Linked DNA regions of Arabidopsis thaliana. The protein of the gene in region 1 interacts with the protein of each later gene in a pairwise test. Each region holds a gene or a part of one and is shown in the gene's direction. Other genes may lie near its edges.

Region 1 (9,945 bases):
TAATATAAGAGTTGGATTTTATTATATTTAAAAATTCTCTGCAACAGCAACAGAGGAAAAACATGAAAGTAAAAAAAAACTACTTGAATTTATTTATTTTGAAGCTTTATGATAGTTCATTGGCTAAAACATTATTGGTGCTAATTTTAATGAAATGATAGTTGCTGACCAAAACTATTGTAATAATAATAATTTAAAAAAAAACAGTAGAAAATTATTATTGAATTATTGTTTTGTGTTTTGGTATTTTTGTGCTTTATCCTTCTATCAGCCTTTACTTTTTTAATATACCCTAAATTGGTCCGACACAAACAAAGACTTTTTATGCTTCAGCCTTCAAGTAGGGATTTGTTAATCGTCTATCGATCTATGTTCATATCTAATTTAATTTGCTTTACTGTTGTTTGACGAATTTTATCTCGTCGGATGGCTTTCGCAATTCTCCGTTGTTTCTTAGGATGATTAATCGTCAAATCTATTAGTTGGAACTAAGCCTTCTGTAAAAATAAAATATCATTCTGGGGCATCGGTGAATCAAATGATCAAAGGTTCCAGCTACTGTTGTCGGTACATTGAAAGGCATGCGTCTGGAATATCAAAGTCGACAATTCAACATGTATACATAGTATGTTAAGATTTAACAAAAAATTACATTCGAATATCTGTAAATTTCATTTTTCTTTTTCTGTTACAATTTAAAACATGCACCTAATGTATTATTATAGTTGTCCAAATTAAAAACAATTTAATTTGTTTTAAAAATTTGATTTGAAAAATGCTAAATAATATGTTTATATGACAAACAAATGGATTTTAACTACAACTACTAAGAAGTATAAAACACTCGGCCATATATATACGAAAACCAAACCAATATCTTCACTCTCTTTTATCAAAAAGCTTTTAACCTCAGCTGTTCAATAATTCACCAATCATGGTGACCAGAAACATCGCCTTTTATGGATTCCAATAAGAGGTCTATTATCTGAACGCACTTAGGGTTGTGCTCTCAGAGTTTATCTCGACTTTGATCTTCGTCTTCGCTGGCTCATGCTCCGGAATTGCTTTCAACAAGCTCACTAACAATGGAGCCACCACTCCTACCGGCCTCGTCGCCGCTGCCTTAGCTCATGCTTTAGGTCTCCTTGTTATTTGTTTCTGTTGTCGCTAACATTTCTGGTGGCCACGTTAACCCTGTCGTTACATTCGGTGTCTTTCTCAGTGTGTCAGAGGTAACATCATTCTCCTCAGTGGTATTTTCTACTTGATTGCTCAGCTTTTTGGCTCAGTCGCCGCGTATTTCCTCCTTATCTTTCCCACTGGTGACGAGGTAACATCACTTATTACACTTATTGCCTTACTAAACCAGGTTAGTATTGTTTTCAATTTGATTTTAGTTGTAATTTCGATTATTGGTTTTTTTCTTCTTCTCTATTTTCTTCACAGTTGTTATTAACCAAGAATAGTAAATATTTAAGATTCGTATAATACAATAATGTTTCTATTATATTTATAATTTCAAGCTGAGACTAATGTTAATATTTAGATATTTTAAATAGAAAATCATATGTTTAGTAAATATTTACCAGGTAATGGAAGATTTGTGTTGGCAAAACCAACCAAGTGAGCGTAATTGTAAACTTTAAACCCAATCGCCTATGTCTATAATCATAATAATTTAATATCTTTAATAACACCATACCAACATATATGAACTTCATACGTTAAAAAATAACTTGAAAGAATCACAATCGTTATAATTTACCGTTTATTTTTCTTCCTATCATTTTATAAAAAACAACTATATTTTCTAATTGATCGACACACATTTCACCAGCTAAATTTGTTATGAAATCAACATGTTAGAGGATTTGTTACAAATTTAAGGTTAATAGTGCTCAAGAAAATATTTAAAAATATAGAAAGAGTGATGGTTGAAGTTCTTACTTATGATAGGTTCATATGTTGAATTAATTACTAATTATATTTTACTTATTTTAATAAGTCTAGGTGGCAAGCTCTCATGTGCTGATGTGTCAAGTTGTGGGAGAGAGTTGAGCTCCTTTCATATATATAATTTACGTTATATTTTGCCTCTTAAGTTTTGTAGTGACCATCATAATTTCTCTTTTGATGTCTTTGTGGGCAAATGAGGTAATCTAGAAAGAAATTACATGGATGAAGATGATATAGAACATACGAGATCTGATGAATGACAGATTACTATAGTTTTTCTTTTCCCTAGTTAATGTTGTTAATAAGGGGATAATTTTGCTAAATTTGGTAAAAGTACATGAATTATATATGATATGTGATTTAGTCAAGAAAAATTATGTGAACCTGATTAGATTTTACCATGTCTCAGGTTTTCAAGAATGCAATTTTTATTTCCATGGACTAGTTGAAATAGTTACCTATAAAATATCTTATGACATAAATCGATCTAGATATGATCTACATACAATTAGAACGCTTAAACGTGGAAACTTAATTGATGATATGCTTTATGGTGATCAAGAAGAAGATATCAACAAAGTGTTGAGATACTAACAAAAATAGTTTTTTTTTCTTGTTGTTATAAATATTGAGTCAGACTTTAAGTTACACGTATTTGCAAACTATAGTTTTGTGTTAGTTTTTTTGATATCAACACATTTCTATTTATTTGGCAACAAAATACTTTTCATAAGAGCATTTCTATGTCATATATTATAATTTATGTGATAAAGATAAAGATCACGATTTCCCGATTGACAAAGAAAATCTTATGAAATATGGAAAACATGATATGAAACACATCATATGTTTCTCATTCGTCAAGTATTTTTTATATGATATATAAAACTTTCTTTCTTTCTAGAATCCATGGCTCTTGTATAAGGTAGATTGTCTAACTCGTTACTCTAGATAGTATATTATATGAAATTTGTTTCGTAAATATTTTTCCTTAAGATTGGACTACCAATTATGAAGTAATATTTTAACTAATGTGTGGTTGACAAAATATAGAAAAAATCAAGAATCCAACCACATGTTGAGAAAAAAAATTTCTACTTCAAATACACTTACTTATTTTTATTATTTAGTCAACGAAATATTAATTTATTTATGGACATATTTTTAAAAATACCATAAAATTAATTTTTGTTATAAAACATTATTAGTAGTTTATATTTTTTTGAAAGTACCACTAAAATATATTATTTTCTGAAAATACCACAAAATTACTTTTAAAGTTTTCAAAACTAGATCCTAAACTCTAAAAAATAAACCCTAAACCCCAAAAAACTTAACTCAAACCCAAACATTTAATAAATTATAAACCCTTAAAATCAACTTTTTGTGTTTCAAGTATTTTTTGGGTATCTCTCTAATTTATTTATTTATTTCAGATTGCTCAAAAGAATAAATAAATAAAAGAATTTGGCTGTCTCATTTCCTTGTTCGGAATCGGAGAAGAAGGAAGACTAGATTCGATGTGTTGGTGAAGAAGATCTCGACTTTGTTCAAAATTCCAATTTCGCTCGCCTCAAAGATCATTCTCTCATCTTCTCGACTTTGATGCGATTGATTAAATATGGTGGATACGGTTATTCCCGGAGATATGGCTTGTTTGGATGCAGATTTGTTGCAGCTTCAGGAAATGTCTTCCTTTGTTCTCAATTCTAAACCTGGATTCACTCAGAAGCTCTTCGACCAGTGGCTTTCTCTTCCCGAAGCTCAGCGACAGGTTTCTGCTTTTTCACTATTCTTACACTCATGCTTCTTAGCTTACTCTCTGTTAGTTCGAATCTTTCTTTCGTAATGTTACAATGATACTTCGGTTGCTTACTTACTCTGTGGTGTTGAGGATTGGTGTAAAGTTTGAATCTTTCTTTGATACTGTTAGTGGGTATTACAGTGATGCCTTAGGTGGTTACTGATATTTGGTTGCTTAATTACTCTCTGGTTTCTGTTGAGGATTGGTGTAAAGTTGGGATCTTTGATAGTGTTAGTTATTACAATGATGCTTAGCTTACTGAGAATGGTGTAAAGTTCGAATATTTCTCTGATTGTGTTAGTGAGTATTATAATGATGCCTTAGGTGGTTACTTAGATTCGGTTGCTTAATTACTCTGTGGTGTAAAGTTCGTATCTTTCTTTGATAGTGTTGGTGAGTGTTACATTGATGCTTAGGTTACTGAGATTTACTCTGTGGTGTTGAAAGATTGGTGTAAAGTTTGAATCATTTTTTGATTCTGTGAGTTATGACGTATATTCTTATTTTCTTATGTGAGTATTACAATGAAGCTTACGTTAATGAGATTTGTTTGCTAAATTACTCTGTGGTGTTGAAGATTGGTGTAAAGTTTGAATCTTTCTTGGATTGTGTGAGTTATGACAATGATGCCTTAGGTGGTTAATGAGATTTGGTTGCTTAATTACTCTCTATTCACTGGAATCTCTAGTCTAATCTTTTTCTCGTTGGTTTTCTAGGTTGGATCATTGCTTAAGGATGCTGTAGCTGGAGCTCCTATCAATGTTACTGGAAGTGCATCGGGTTCTAATTCTGCCACTATACCATCTATGTTTCCTGCGGGAAGTGCTCCTCCGCTTTCACCAAGGAGTTGTGGTTCACCCCGTACAACCAAACAGAGAGCCCCTTCTAACTTAGGTTCTACTCTCAAAGTAGTCAACGAGCCTGTTAAAGAGCCTATACCTCAGGTTTCTTTTCCTCTTTTTCTTCCTTCTTTATATATATATAGTAATGGAATGGAGTTAACTCACTGATTTCTTAACTTGAAATGATTCTAGTTTTATTTCCAAAATGGTCGCCCTCCACCAAGCGAGATTAAAGAGCAATGTATGTTTAGAATCAATCACTTCTTTTATGGTCACATGGATGGCTTGCAGATACAAGGTTAGAAGTCAGTCATTTGTTTTCTACTAATTATATTTGAACTGTTTATTAACTTTTTTCTCCATTTTCAATCAATACTCAGAATTCAAGTTAGTCACCAGAGAAATCTGCAAGCTCCCATCTTTCTTCTCCACTTCCCTTTTCCGGAAGATCGATCTCAACAATACAGGTTTTGTTACTAGGTGTGTGCCGCTTCTTCTATGCTTTTTTTTTTTTTGTATGGTGCTTCCTCTTCATGTCTGCATAGTTTACTGAAACACCACCCAGTATAACAGTTTTTCGTGTTTGTTTCTACAGAGATGCATTTATTGATTTTTGGGTAAACGGGAACATGTTGATAATGGATACAACGACCCAAATCTTCAAGATACTAAAGCAGAAAGATCAGAGTTTCATTGTTAAGGTTATTTTCTTTTAAGATTTGCATATTCAGTCAGTCATGAGAGCGAGTTTATTATATTCCAGATTCTTTTCTTTTTTTCATGGCAGGATGATTTCAAACCACTACTCAAAGAACTGTTGGCGACGCATCCTGGGCTAGAGTTCCTGCAATCCACACCTGAATTCCAAGAAAGATATGGTTAGGTCTCAACTTTATTTACATTTTTAGTATCCTAAGTTATCTCATGTTTTCTTTTTCCGCTTGGTATTGCTTGAGTAATGGTGTTTAGTAATTGAGTTTGGTTGTGCATTTTATTCTTTGAAGTATATTGGTAGCTACAGCCCTAGTTGAGAAGAATGAGTGAATAAGTTTGCCACTTTGGTATGATGTACTTATCTAAATCTGTCAGATGGTTACCAGATCAATAGTATTTCTTCTTGATATTGCTTGAGTAATGGTGTTTAGTAATTGAGTTTGATTGTACATTTTATTCTTCGAAGTATATTGGTAGCTACAGCCCTAGTTGAGAAGAATGAGTGAATAAGTTTGCCATGTACTTATCTAAATCTGTCGAATGGTTACCACATCAATAATATTTCTAGTGAAATAAATAATTTTGATAATTGATGCATCGAGATACAGTAATAAATGTGGCATTACTCTGTATGGATTTTAAAATTTTTATAAGATACGGTTTCTTTGTTTTGTTGTGTTAGACATCATCTTATAACTTGCAAATCCATAAAGCTTTCAAGCACGGAATGAATCATCTTCAGTCTATGAATCCTGCAGATATAATCAATATCAGAAAAAATAAATTCTGGAGCTTGTTTATGAATCATGCGTCAGTTAGTAATGAATTCCCGAGAACACTTTGATTGCTTTCTAGATATCTGGAGTCCATATTCTTTGGTATTTGCTGCTACCGGTATCAAAGCTAAATTTTTAAGGATGCTTTTCTGTCTGATACAATTTGTATTTTGCTGAAACAGCTGAAACTGTCACCTACCGAATATTTTATTACATAAATAGATCTGGCAATGGTCGAATTACATTTAGGGAGCTTAAACGGGGAAACTTAATTGATGCTATGCTACATGCTGATGAAGAAGAAGATATTAACAAAGTGTTGAGGTACTGACAAAAATATTTGCGTGCTATTGTTGTATTTATAGTATTGTTTTTGCTCATTTAACATCACTTTTCTATTCACTTTGGCAATTAGATACTTCTCGTATGAGCATTTCTATGTCATATACTGCAAGTTCTGGGAGCTGGATACGGATCACGATTTCCTGATTGACAAAGAAAATCTTATGCGATATGGAAACCATGCTCTTACCTACCGGATTGTCGACAGAATATTCTCCCAGGTTCTGTCTAAAAAACCTTGCTCTTTAATGCCTACTACTTGAAGATTTTATTTATATTGCTTCTATTTTAAGAGTTCTTTCCTCGTTCAAAGTTATTATTGCTCTTAAGATGCATTGGTTTCTTCTCAGGTTGCTAGGAAGTTCACTAACAAAGTTGAAGGGAAGATGGGGTATGAGGACTTTGTCTATTTCATTCTTGCGGAAGAAGATAAATCGTCAGTGCCTAGCCTAGAATATTGGTAAGTTGTGATAGAAGGGTCCGAAAGTTGCAGACAGATACCATTTTAAGTCTTTTATCTGACACAAGTATACGTTGGACTAGGTTTAAGTGCATAGACTTGGATGCAAATGGGATTATTACGCGAAATGAGATGCAATTCTTTTATGAAGAGCAGTTGCATAGAATGGAGTGCATGGCGCAAGAGGCTGTTCTTTTCGAGGATATCTTATGTCAGATGATTGATATGATCGGACCTGAGGTTCAACAATATATCTCTTGTTTTCTTCTTTCTATATTTAGTATAGTCACAGAAGTAGTTTGTGTTCCCAGTTTTCTTTCTGAGTCTTGTGATTTTGTTTTGTGTTTGATTGTTTTTTATTTCCTTCCACAGAACGAAAGCCATATAACGCTGCATGACCTGAAAGGCTCAAAGCTCTCTGGAAACGTCTTCAACATCCTATTTAATCTCAACAAATTTATGGCATTTGAAACCCGGGATCCATTCCTCATTCGTCAGGTACTAATCATCTAATTTACCTTGCTACTTCTTCACACCACCACATGCGTCTTATAACATTTCTAATGTCAAACGGAAACAGGAGCGAGAGAACCCTACATTGACAGATTGGGACCGTTTTGCACATAGAGAGTATATTAGGCTATCAATGGAAGAAGATGTTGAAGATGCATCTAATGGAAGTGCTGAGGTTTGGGATGAGTCGTCGCTGGAGGCTCCCTTTTGAGTTCATAAAGGTAAGTCAACGGAAAACCGTAGTGTCTAGAAGATAAAACTAGTGGAAAAGGATTAGAAAAAAAAGAAACTGAAAAAACTTTGATGTTGATGCTTGTGCAAATGTTATTATTTCATAATATAACTTAATCATGCAGAAGAGAAATGTAAAGTCCCTGAGAAGAACATTTGGAGCTTTGTTGAGGAAGGAAAGTGAAAAACAAACGAAAAGCCGGTAGTATCCTCTGTTGAATACCATACTTAGCTTGGATTTGTTTTCTAACTTCTCTTTATTTGTTAGCTGATTCTACAGTTATATTTATTAACAATCGTCTAGATTTTACAGTCTTCTTCACCTGTATTGCATTCACTTTGCTCTGATGTTTCTATCTCTGGGTGTTACTTCATCATCTCCAGATGTTGAGACTTGTGAATTTCAATGCTATAGTTCCTTTAATTTTTGGTTGGTTCCTGAAGACACAGGATGTCACTGAGATGAGAAGAGGTTGGTTGTGTTATTACTATTGATCTTGAAGTGATGTCTTTTTATTTGTGAAATTCTTAAGGAAAAGCCACTTTGCTCTGTTCAGTTGATCTTCAAATCTTCACATCGGAATCGGTTTAGTTGGTTTGCGGTTGCTCTGAACTGTTTGTCAACCAAACCTCCCTTTATTATACTGAAAACTCTTTGTGCAACAGATGAAGAAAAAAGGAGAGGAGTCTTATTATGTACATAGTGTGGAACTCGCAAAGTTACCAGAACCGATCTTTATTGACACTGAGATAACCAGACATGACTTTCCCACCCGTATTCCTCATACCATCGATGAGGAAACACCAAGTGGAACCCAATGCTCCGACGAAGAAATCAGCTTCTGACGCCATTAAGAAGTTAACCAGAGGATAGTTTGTGCTCATCTCTCTCCCGAGGCTCGCTTCATACTCAGCCATCGACTTATTACCGACTTGTCTTGCCACTTCCGTGTAATAGAATCTCCAGTGAGCATAATCTTTACTTCTGTCCACCACTTCCTTCATCTCTGTAGAGAGCCAGATCCTGTTGAGCTCTGGAAACCGATCTCTGATCCGATCAGCTAAATGCATGTACTCTTCTAAAGCTGCGACTCTCATCTCGCATGCTTTGTCTCCCATCCGTACGTGAACACTCAGCATTGGCCTTGGAAGCCACGGCTTGTGATCCGACCACACCTGTTCCTCAATCTCTGTCCTCATCTTCTTATTCTTCTTTCTCCAATCTCCAGCTGAAAGAACAATCTTGGCAGCTTCTTTTCCAAACGCGGAATTTCGAGCAATGTTCATCAAACCGCAAGTGTATTCTGTTTGATATCTCATCAAGTATCTCACTGCTTGTGCTCTCCACCATCTCCGATCCATTTTCCGATGATTGGAGATTAAACTTCCGTTGATTTCTGTAGTTGGCTTCATATAACTCCAAGGCTTACCCCATTGCTTTGGTATAGCCCCAGCCCAAATCTCCTTTGTGCTATAATTTTGTTTCCCTGTAACAATCCCACTCTCCCACGCTTCTCTCTTCTTCACAATCGCAAAGGCTCGTTTTCGACACTCTTCTGACGTTTCCTGTAGAAAATAGCAAGACCAGTTTCCACGAAAAGAACCTGCATCAAAACAAAAGAGAAACACCAAATCAAATCCAAAGTTTGGTTCTTATATACACTTTTCAGCGTCTAAAACATCTTGATAAGAAGATTAACCAAGAAGATGTAATTTGTGATAGTTGCTGCTATATGTTAGAGTGAAGACTCAAAGGATTAAAGCCTTTATGTACCTTTGCAACCATCATGATCTGCTCGGTTGTAGTAATTTGCAACAAGCACTCGGTTTTCATTTATAGCTATCGCGAGTAGACCAGTCATTCCAGCTATCTGAGCTCCTATTCCAAAACCAGGAAGTGTTTCCCAATCAGCTACAAGGAACTTGAGACTCTTGTTTCCGCAATCCAAAGGATGCTGATGAATCCATATATCTCTTTGCACTCTCCTCGTTAACGGATAATTCTCTTCATCTCCTCCACTGATCTAAAACACAAGCTTTTGATTGTTCATTCACCATACTAATTGCTTGATGACAAAGAACAAGAAAAAGAAGAAGCATACCCAAGGAGGAAGTGTCCAGTTCGCCAAACGTGTATCCAAACGCTCCCTAACTCGAGCCTTCTCCTCACAATTCTCCAAATGTGGACCATTTGGTACATCGGATTTGTTAATACCTACCTTCTTCAAGAAGTCTTCTTCATTTAGTAATAAATTATCCCAAGCAGAGACCAAAAGTTTCACTTCATCTTCTTCTTCTATCTCAACT
Region 2 (6,257 bases), on another chromosome or scaffold:
TTATAAAATTTGACACCGTATAAATCGAAGTCCTATATGGTTTAATTTTAATTGCAAAGAAAGTCTTTTTAGACGAGTTTATGGTGATTTTTGTAATTACGATTTTAGTCATCGTAAGCCATTGAATACTACCTCTTCCGCATATTTCGACAATTAGTTTGAATATTTACCTTTACCACTTCTATTATGAAAACAATAAGATAAATACATTCTCACGTATATATGCTTATGATATAATATATTTTAGATCCAATTATGCTTTCGAAGTCCTCTTGGAATTCCAAGAAATATGAGCACTCACAAGATCAGTTCTATTAACATGTCTAACAAATTGTACTGTTTTATTTCTACGTAAATTTCAATCATAAGTTTTTGGTGCATCACGAAAACAATATACAATACTGTTTTCCAGTTGTATATATCTACTATAGATTCGGGTACATGCCATCCAATAAAACTTCGTTGCAGAATTAAATGGAGATTATGAGTTCATGAGATTAAACTATAGGCTTAAGTTCATATTTTCCAGTTAGTAAATAAAATTCTGCTAGCCAAACAAAAAAAGTTGTTCCCTACCAAAAAAAACAAAAAAAGTTGTTGAGGAGAGGAAATTGTAAGCTTTGATGAAGTAGAAAAAAGAAGAACTTTGTCATTCCCCCCACGTGTAAAGAGACTTGCCATCGATCCTTCACAAGCTTCTCGTCACCACTCCTTTCTTCTTTACACTTAATTTCCATCTTCCTTCTGCTTCTACACGTCCACATGCAATTTTGCACCGAGAATCCTAATTTGTGTCCTTCATTTTAAAGGTTTAAAAAGCATGTTTATAAAAACATGGAACTGGATGGTTTGTGAGATATGCCATCAAATTAGACAAAAGGGTCCATTAAGCCTGTGAAAAAAAAAGAAAAAAAAAACTAAGAGACGATCATAAGAGTTAGGTGTGACCTGACAAGATTCTTGTACACCCGAACCCGACTTGTGAACTGTGAAGTCAACCTCTAATTAACAGTTATTTTTTATTCCTACAAATACGGATCCAACATTATTCTCAATTAGTTGAAGTAATGTCTGTCTATTTGCACATTTTCAAACCCATAATCAAACAAAAGTTACATATCCTGACCCGCTGACCATATTATACACTCATCTGTGTATATCTCAAATCTCACTTGCAGGTAATTCTCTCTAGTACTTTTATGTAGATATATAGATATTAGTAGAATGTTAGCAAGAAAAGATGTAAAACATATATATCAACTATATTAGAACCCGTCCTTTGTGCGAGTTTTTGATTTTTATGATAATTTTAAGTTAACAAAAACTGAATTAATTTTGCTTTATATATTAAGATGTGTGTGAAGCTCAATACACAATATTAATCTATTCTTATCAAAAAAATTTATATTCAAAATTTACAGCAATTATAAAGAACTAATAGCATTGTATTATGACTTATCATTAAGATGGGGTTTGTGTCCATGTCCGGAGTTGTTAAAGGTTTGAAAACCCAGAGTTATGAATGTAAAGAAACAAGACAGAATGCTTGAAAACAGAGCATCAAGTAAATGTTTTGTGTTTATATTATTATGCAGCTAAAATGGAACCGGTGACGGCATTCCAACTTGGCCAATGGATGTCTAGACTCGCTATATTCTTCAAGGCAGACGACACATTCTTCCCCAACCTCGAAATTGAATTCCTCGACGGCAACAAAAATATATCTTCGAACGTTTTGTTGTGTCTGATCAGCCAACTCCACATCTTTAGGTAAACTCTAATATCCTAGAGAATAATAGAAATCTATAATACTAGTTACAATGTAGAAGAAGAGACAACCTATAACGAAGCTAGATACTATAGCCAACGTAACCAAACCAAACAACAAAAGTATGTTGTGATAGACCAGTTTTTCTTTCCAAAATACGGCCCAATTAAAAGTTTGGTTCTAAAAACAATTTGGGCCTTAGTTTGTATAGTTTAAAATGTGTTTCTTAGTGAGGATTGGTTTTTCATGCCCTTTTGTTTGTGTGCTCCTTTTTTTGTATATTGAAGATCATATCAAAGCAAAAGCAATACAATACTTTTCATTCAAAAAGTTCCTCCTTCTGCTTGTTCATCAAATCTCTCAGGTAATTAAATATATGGTTGTACCACTTTTAGTTTTGTGGTATTCGGCTCTGATGTTGAATACTTCAAATATCTAGATTTGCATCTGATGCAATTGAAAACCTTTTTTTTTTTTGCAATTGAAAACTCATATATATAGTATGGCTAGATATATGCAATTGAAAACTCATATATCTAGCCATACTATGAAATAACAATTGAAGAACTTCTAAGTTGAAAGAATTCTCACTTTGTATGTTTTGATGAATTTGATCTTACATTCCAATCGTTCCAAATATCGAAACTCTTAAAGCGTATTCAATCAAACGAATCTCGTCCTAGATATACCTTGGTCATTTCAAGAAGAAGAGAAAAAAGTTATGGTCAAGAAACTAAAAGTCTAAACCCATATTATAATTCTAGTGTTGATATACGAGAATTATATATTGGTCACTTGCCCAATTAAAAATATCGTGTATAGAAAACAGTCAAGTCAACAACTATAGCAAGGGGCAAAACCGTAATTTCACAACAAGCAACTTGCTCGGTTTTTTCGTTATCACCACTCACATGAACTCTGCATTAAAAACTCTATCTCTCTCAAATCGAAAGGCACAGCCCAACTTTTCGCAAGTCGCTGTAAAGTTTGATTTGCTTCTTTTTATATACACACATACTTCTCCTCCATACACTTTCCTCTTCAATCCTCAGTTTTTTTTCTAAGCCCTAATACCATCTCAAAGAAGAGATCAAGATTTGAAATCAAGAAGACACCATTACTCAGATCAACATGCTTGCCGTTCACCGTCCTTCTTCCGCCGTATCAGACGGAGATTCCGTTCAGATTCCGATGATGATCGCGTCGTTTCAAAAACGTTTTCCTTCTCTCTCACGCGACTCCACGGCCGCTCGTTTTCACACACACGAGGTTGGTCCTAATCAGTGTTGCTCCGCCGTTATTCAAGAGATCTCCGCTCCAATCTCCACCGTTTGGTCCGTCGTACGCCGCTTTGATAACCCACAAGCTTACAAACACTTTCTCAAAAGCTGTAGCGTCATCGGCGGAGACGGCGATAACGTTGGTAGCCTCCGTCAAGTCCACGTCGTCTCTGGTCTCCCCGCCGCTAGCTCCACCGAGAGACTCGATATCCTCGACGACGAACGCCACGTCATCAGCTTCAGCGTTGTTGGTGGTGACCACCGGCTCTCTAACTACCGATCCGTAACGACCCTTCACCCTTCTCCGATCTCCGGGACCGTCGTTGTCGAGTCTTACGTCGTTGATGTTCCTCCAGGCAACACAAAGGAAGAGACTTGTGACTTCGTTGACGTTATCGTACGATGCAATCTTCAATCTCTTGCGAAAATAGCCGAGAATACTGCGGCTGAGAGCAAGAAGAAGATGTCTCTGTGATGAGTCTTTGTCGTTGTCGGGTAGTTTCGTTAGATCCGACGTCGTTTTCTAGATTTTTAGCCGTCGTGTGATCTATGTTTTTTCGGCTTATGTGTGAAAAAAAAGTTACATTAGTGAATTAATCTCTCATGCATATCATAATCCTTCTTTTAATTTTTGTATTTTACATATCCCATAAAGAACCGATTTGGATAGCCCTATTCCGGCTTTCACCACCCAAAGATAATAATATTCAAACTGAAAGAATGTGGTTGTGTTGTCCGCTAATTAAAAGTGTGATTTTCAAGTTTAATTAATCTTGTTTTTCTATAGTTTCATCAGAAAAAGCGTAAATGAAATGGTACAATATGATGTTCGACTCGGATGTATATTAACTCGTTACATTGAGTTGTTGGCCATCTAATGTGTGTAGATAAATTTACGTACGTATAAACAGCTTTTGTGAAATTCGACGATTTTTCTTAAAGGCAACTTTAAATTTGGGCATAATATAATGTGTTCCTTTCCTCTATGATTTAACTAGGTCCTCAAACTTTTTACTTTCTTATTATTTCATAATAATTAAAATAACCGATTGAGCGTGAAGTTGTTATTTAAAAATCAAACATTTGATAGAGAATTCAAGATTTGAAGTTTTTATTTGTCATCATAAACTATTTGGTAGAAAATAGGGAGTAGTTGGGGATTTTCAGGCTTAAAGGTAATTGCGTAAAATGGACAAAACATACATGTATACAAAAATATGAACATGGCCGTCAAAATATAAAAAATAAAAAACGAACATGTTGATGAATTTAAAGAAATAAAAATTTGCAAGTGGACGATGCTTTGAATGATAACCCAACAAGCCAAGCTGTTCTCTTCTTCTTTTTTTTTCCCGCTTGATATAAAGAAAATGCAAGTTGCAATTTTTTTTATCTTTTACTTCCTTTCTTTATGGTTCTTCCCAATCCAAAAGATATAATATTAAATTTCGTATAATAATAAAGAAATATGGAATAGAGAGAAGCGCAAGTTGCATGTCCTTTTACATCACGAGAGTCACGATATGTTTCGTTTCCAAGTGATCTCTTAGAATATAATTATATAAATGTGTTTTTTTCAATATATTCGAGAGGTTTCTACACTTCTATCCACAAAAAGATATGTGATTGATCGACAAAACATGAATCGTATGAAATGAAAGATTTCATTTTCCTTAGATCTAAAACCTTCTACTTCTATGTTTGCAATATCATTATCGAGGTTCACCACTATGGTTACGTAACCATCATCACTACAAAATTTTCAGTCGATAATAGGAATAGCATAAAAATACACAAAATGTTATAACTTTCAATTACTAATTTTTGTGGTCGTCAAATATCGACAAATATAGCATAGCTTTACTAATCATAACTTCATAAGATACATACTTAATGTGGCCACGAAAGGTGTAAAAACAAAAAAAAGGGATGGGAAAGAGTTGGCGGTGCAAGTGGAAGTGGGGTAGCTGCGATTTTTTTGCAAGTTGGGCAAAACATATTAATTGTGATTTACAAATTGATGAATTTTCTTATTTCTCAAAACATAAAAATGAAAGTATATGTGCCTTTGCGATCCATCACGCCACTGTTTCCTATAATTTGATTGGACCTCTGCCCAAATTTCCGATCGTTGGAGAAAAGGAAAATAAAAATAAAAATCGAATATAAGTGTATATGAATATAATTCACAAGTTGCCACATATTAGTATATCGCTTCTTGTTATATAAAGAGGCTTCATGTGATGCTTCTAGACCGAACCACCTACATCGGCGTATGGCCATAATTGTAGTTGGGGTCGGGTTAAGGTAATTTATCATTTGTACTAATTCATAATTCTTTTTATTTTCTGTTATAAATATCATCTGGAAGGTCCAAGGCCATAAGTATTGACGAATTGTTTAAGAATCTTTCCAATAGCCTTTTTAATACATGGCTTTTTTGTATCATGGAGTTGAGTCATCCGTGTTATAGGACTTTTAAAATACCGATTGCAGCATGTTTTCGATGTGAAAAATCTGCATTGGTGTATTTGTTGATTTGTTATAACGCGTAAAGCATGCAATGTATGCTTTTAGATGGTAAGTTAACTTGTAAAAATATCGATCTGCTAATGTTAAGTTGTGTACAAGAAATACTATCCACAAAAGCGTATAGAGACAATCGTACCTAACCTAACACAATGTAACAAAATTTGAAATTAGTTTTGTAACTTAAAATAAACCCCCCAAAAGAAAGGTTTAAAACTTCTTTTTATGGGCCTATAGCATCCGCCTGTATGCCCAACTGGACCCGGTCATTTCTAAGAATCGCAATCCCAACCTACGTGTAATAACTAATAGTATGAATAGTATGAATTTCACGCATGCACGACGCATTTTTATTTTCTTTTACGCCACACACGACACATTAATAAGGTTTAGACAACTTTTTTTGATTCGTGAATGCCTTCTTTGAGAAAGATTGTGTTAACTATGTGTATATCGTTCCAAGGTTATTAGATGTAGTCCAAAATAGATCACATAAGTTATGTATTTGTTTAAGGTTTGCGCACCAATGATATTGTTGCATATCGAACCAGTTGGTGAGCCGGAATGGAACTTAATTCTCATCAACTCCACTATGGTTATATAAAAGAAATTGCATATGTAACTATATGTAAATTAATGGGTGAGATTGTGAGACTCTTAGTGAATTGAGAGAATTTTAG

The links. Proteins that work in one complex are often made in the same cells at the same time.
Region 2: the proteins of AT5G28900 (region 1) and PYL4 interact in binary tests that used the Arabidopsis thaliana proteins (3 or more experiments, as listed by UniProt).

The regions. Positions count from the first base shown.
Region 1 is NC_003076.8:10,922,275-10,932,219, forward strand, and holds AT5G28900 (Calcium-binding EF-hand family protein), read left to right. Parts: upstream 1-3,360; 5' UTR 3,361-3,577; coding exon 3,578-3,730; intron 3,731-4,476; coding exon 4,477-4,704; intron 4,705-4,794; coding exon 4,795-4,900; intron 4,901-4,982; coding exon 4,983-5,082; intron 5,083-5,197; coding exon 5,198-5,303; intron 5,304-5,389; coding exon 5,390-5,480; intron 5,481-6,274; coding exon 6,275-6,416; intron 6,417-6,507; coding exon 6,508-6,655; intron 6,656-6,784; coding exon 6,785-6,894; intron 6,895-6,977; coding exon 6,978-7,134; intron 7,135-7,266; coding exon 7,267-7,392; intron 7,393-7,474; coding exon 7,475-7,618; 3' UTR 7,619-7,628; intron 7,629-7,763; 3' UTR 7,764-8,188; downstream 8,189-9,945. Other genes in the region: AT5G28910 (alpha-(1,6)-fucosyltransferase), read right to left, coding at 8,359-9,242, 9,413-9,662, 9,741-9,945.
Region 2 is NC_003071.7:16,047,352-16,053,608, forward strand, and holds PYL4 (PYR1-like 4), read left to right. Parts: upstream 1-2,566; 5' UTR 2,567-2,899; coding exon 2,900-3,523; 3' UTR 3,524-4,005; downstream 4,006-6,257. UniProt on the Arabidopsis thaliana protein: Receptor for abscisic acid (ABA) required for ABA-mediated responses such as stomatal closure and germination inhibition. Inhibits the activity of group-A protein phosphatases type 2C (PP2Cs) when activated by ABA. Can be activated by both (-)-ABA and (+)-ABA.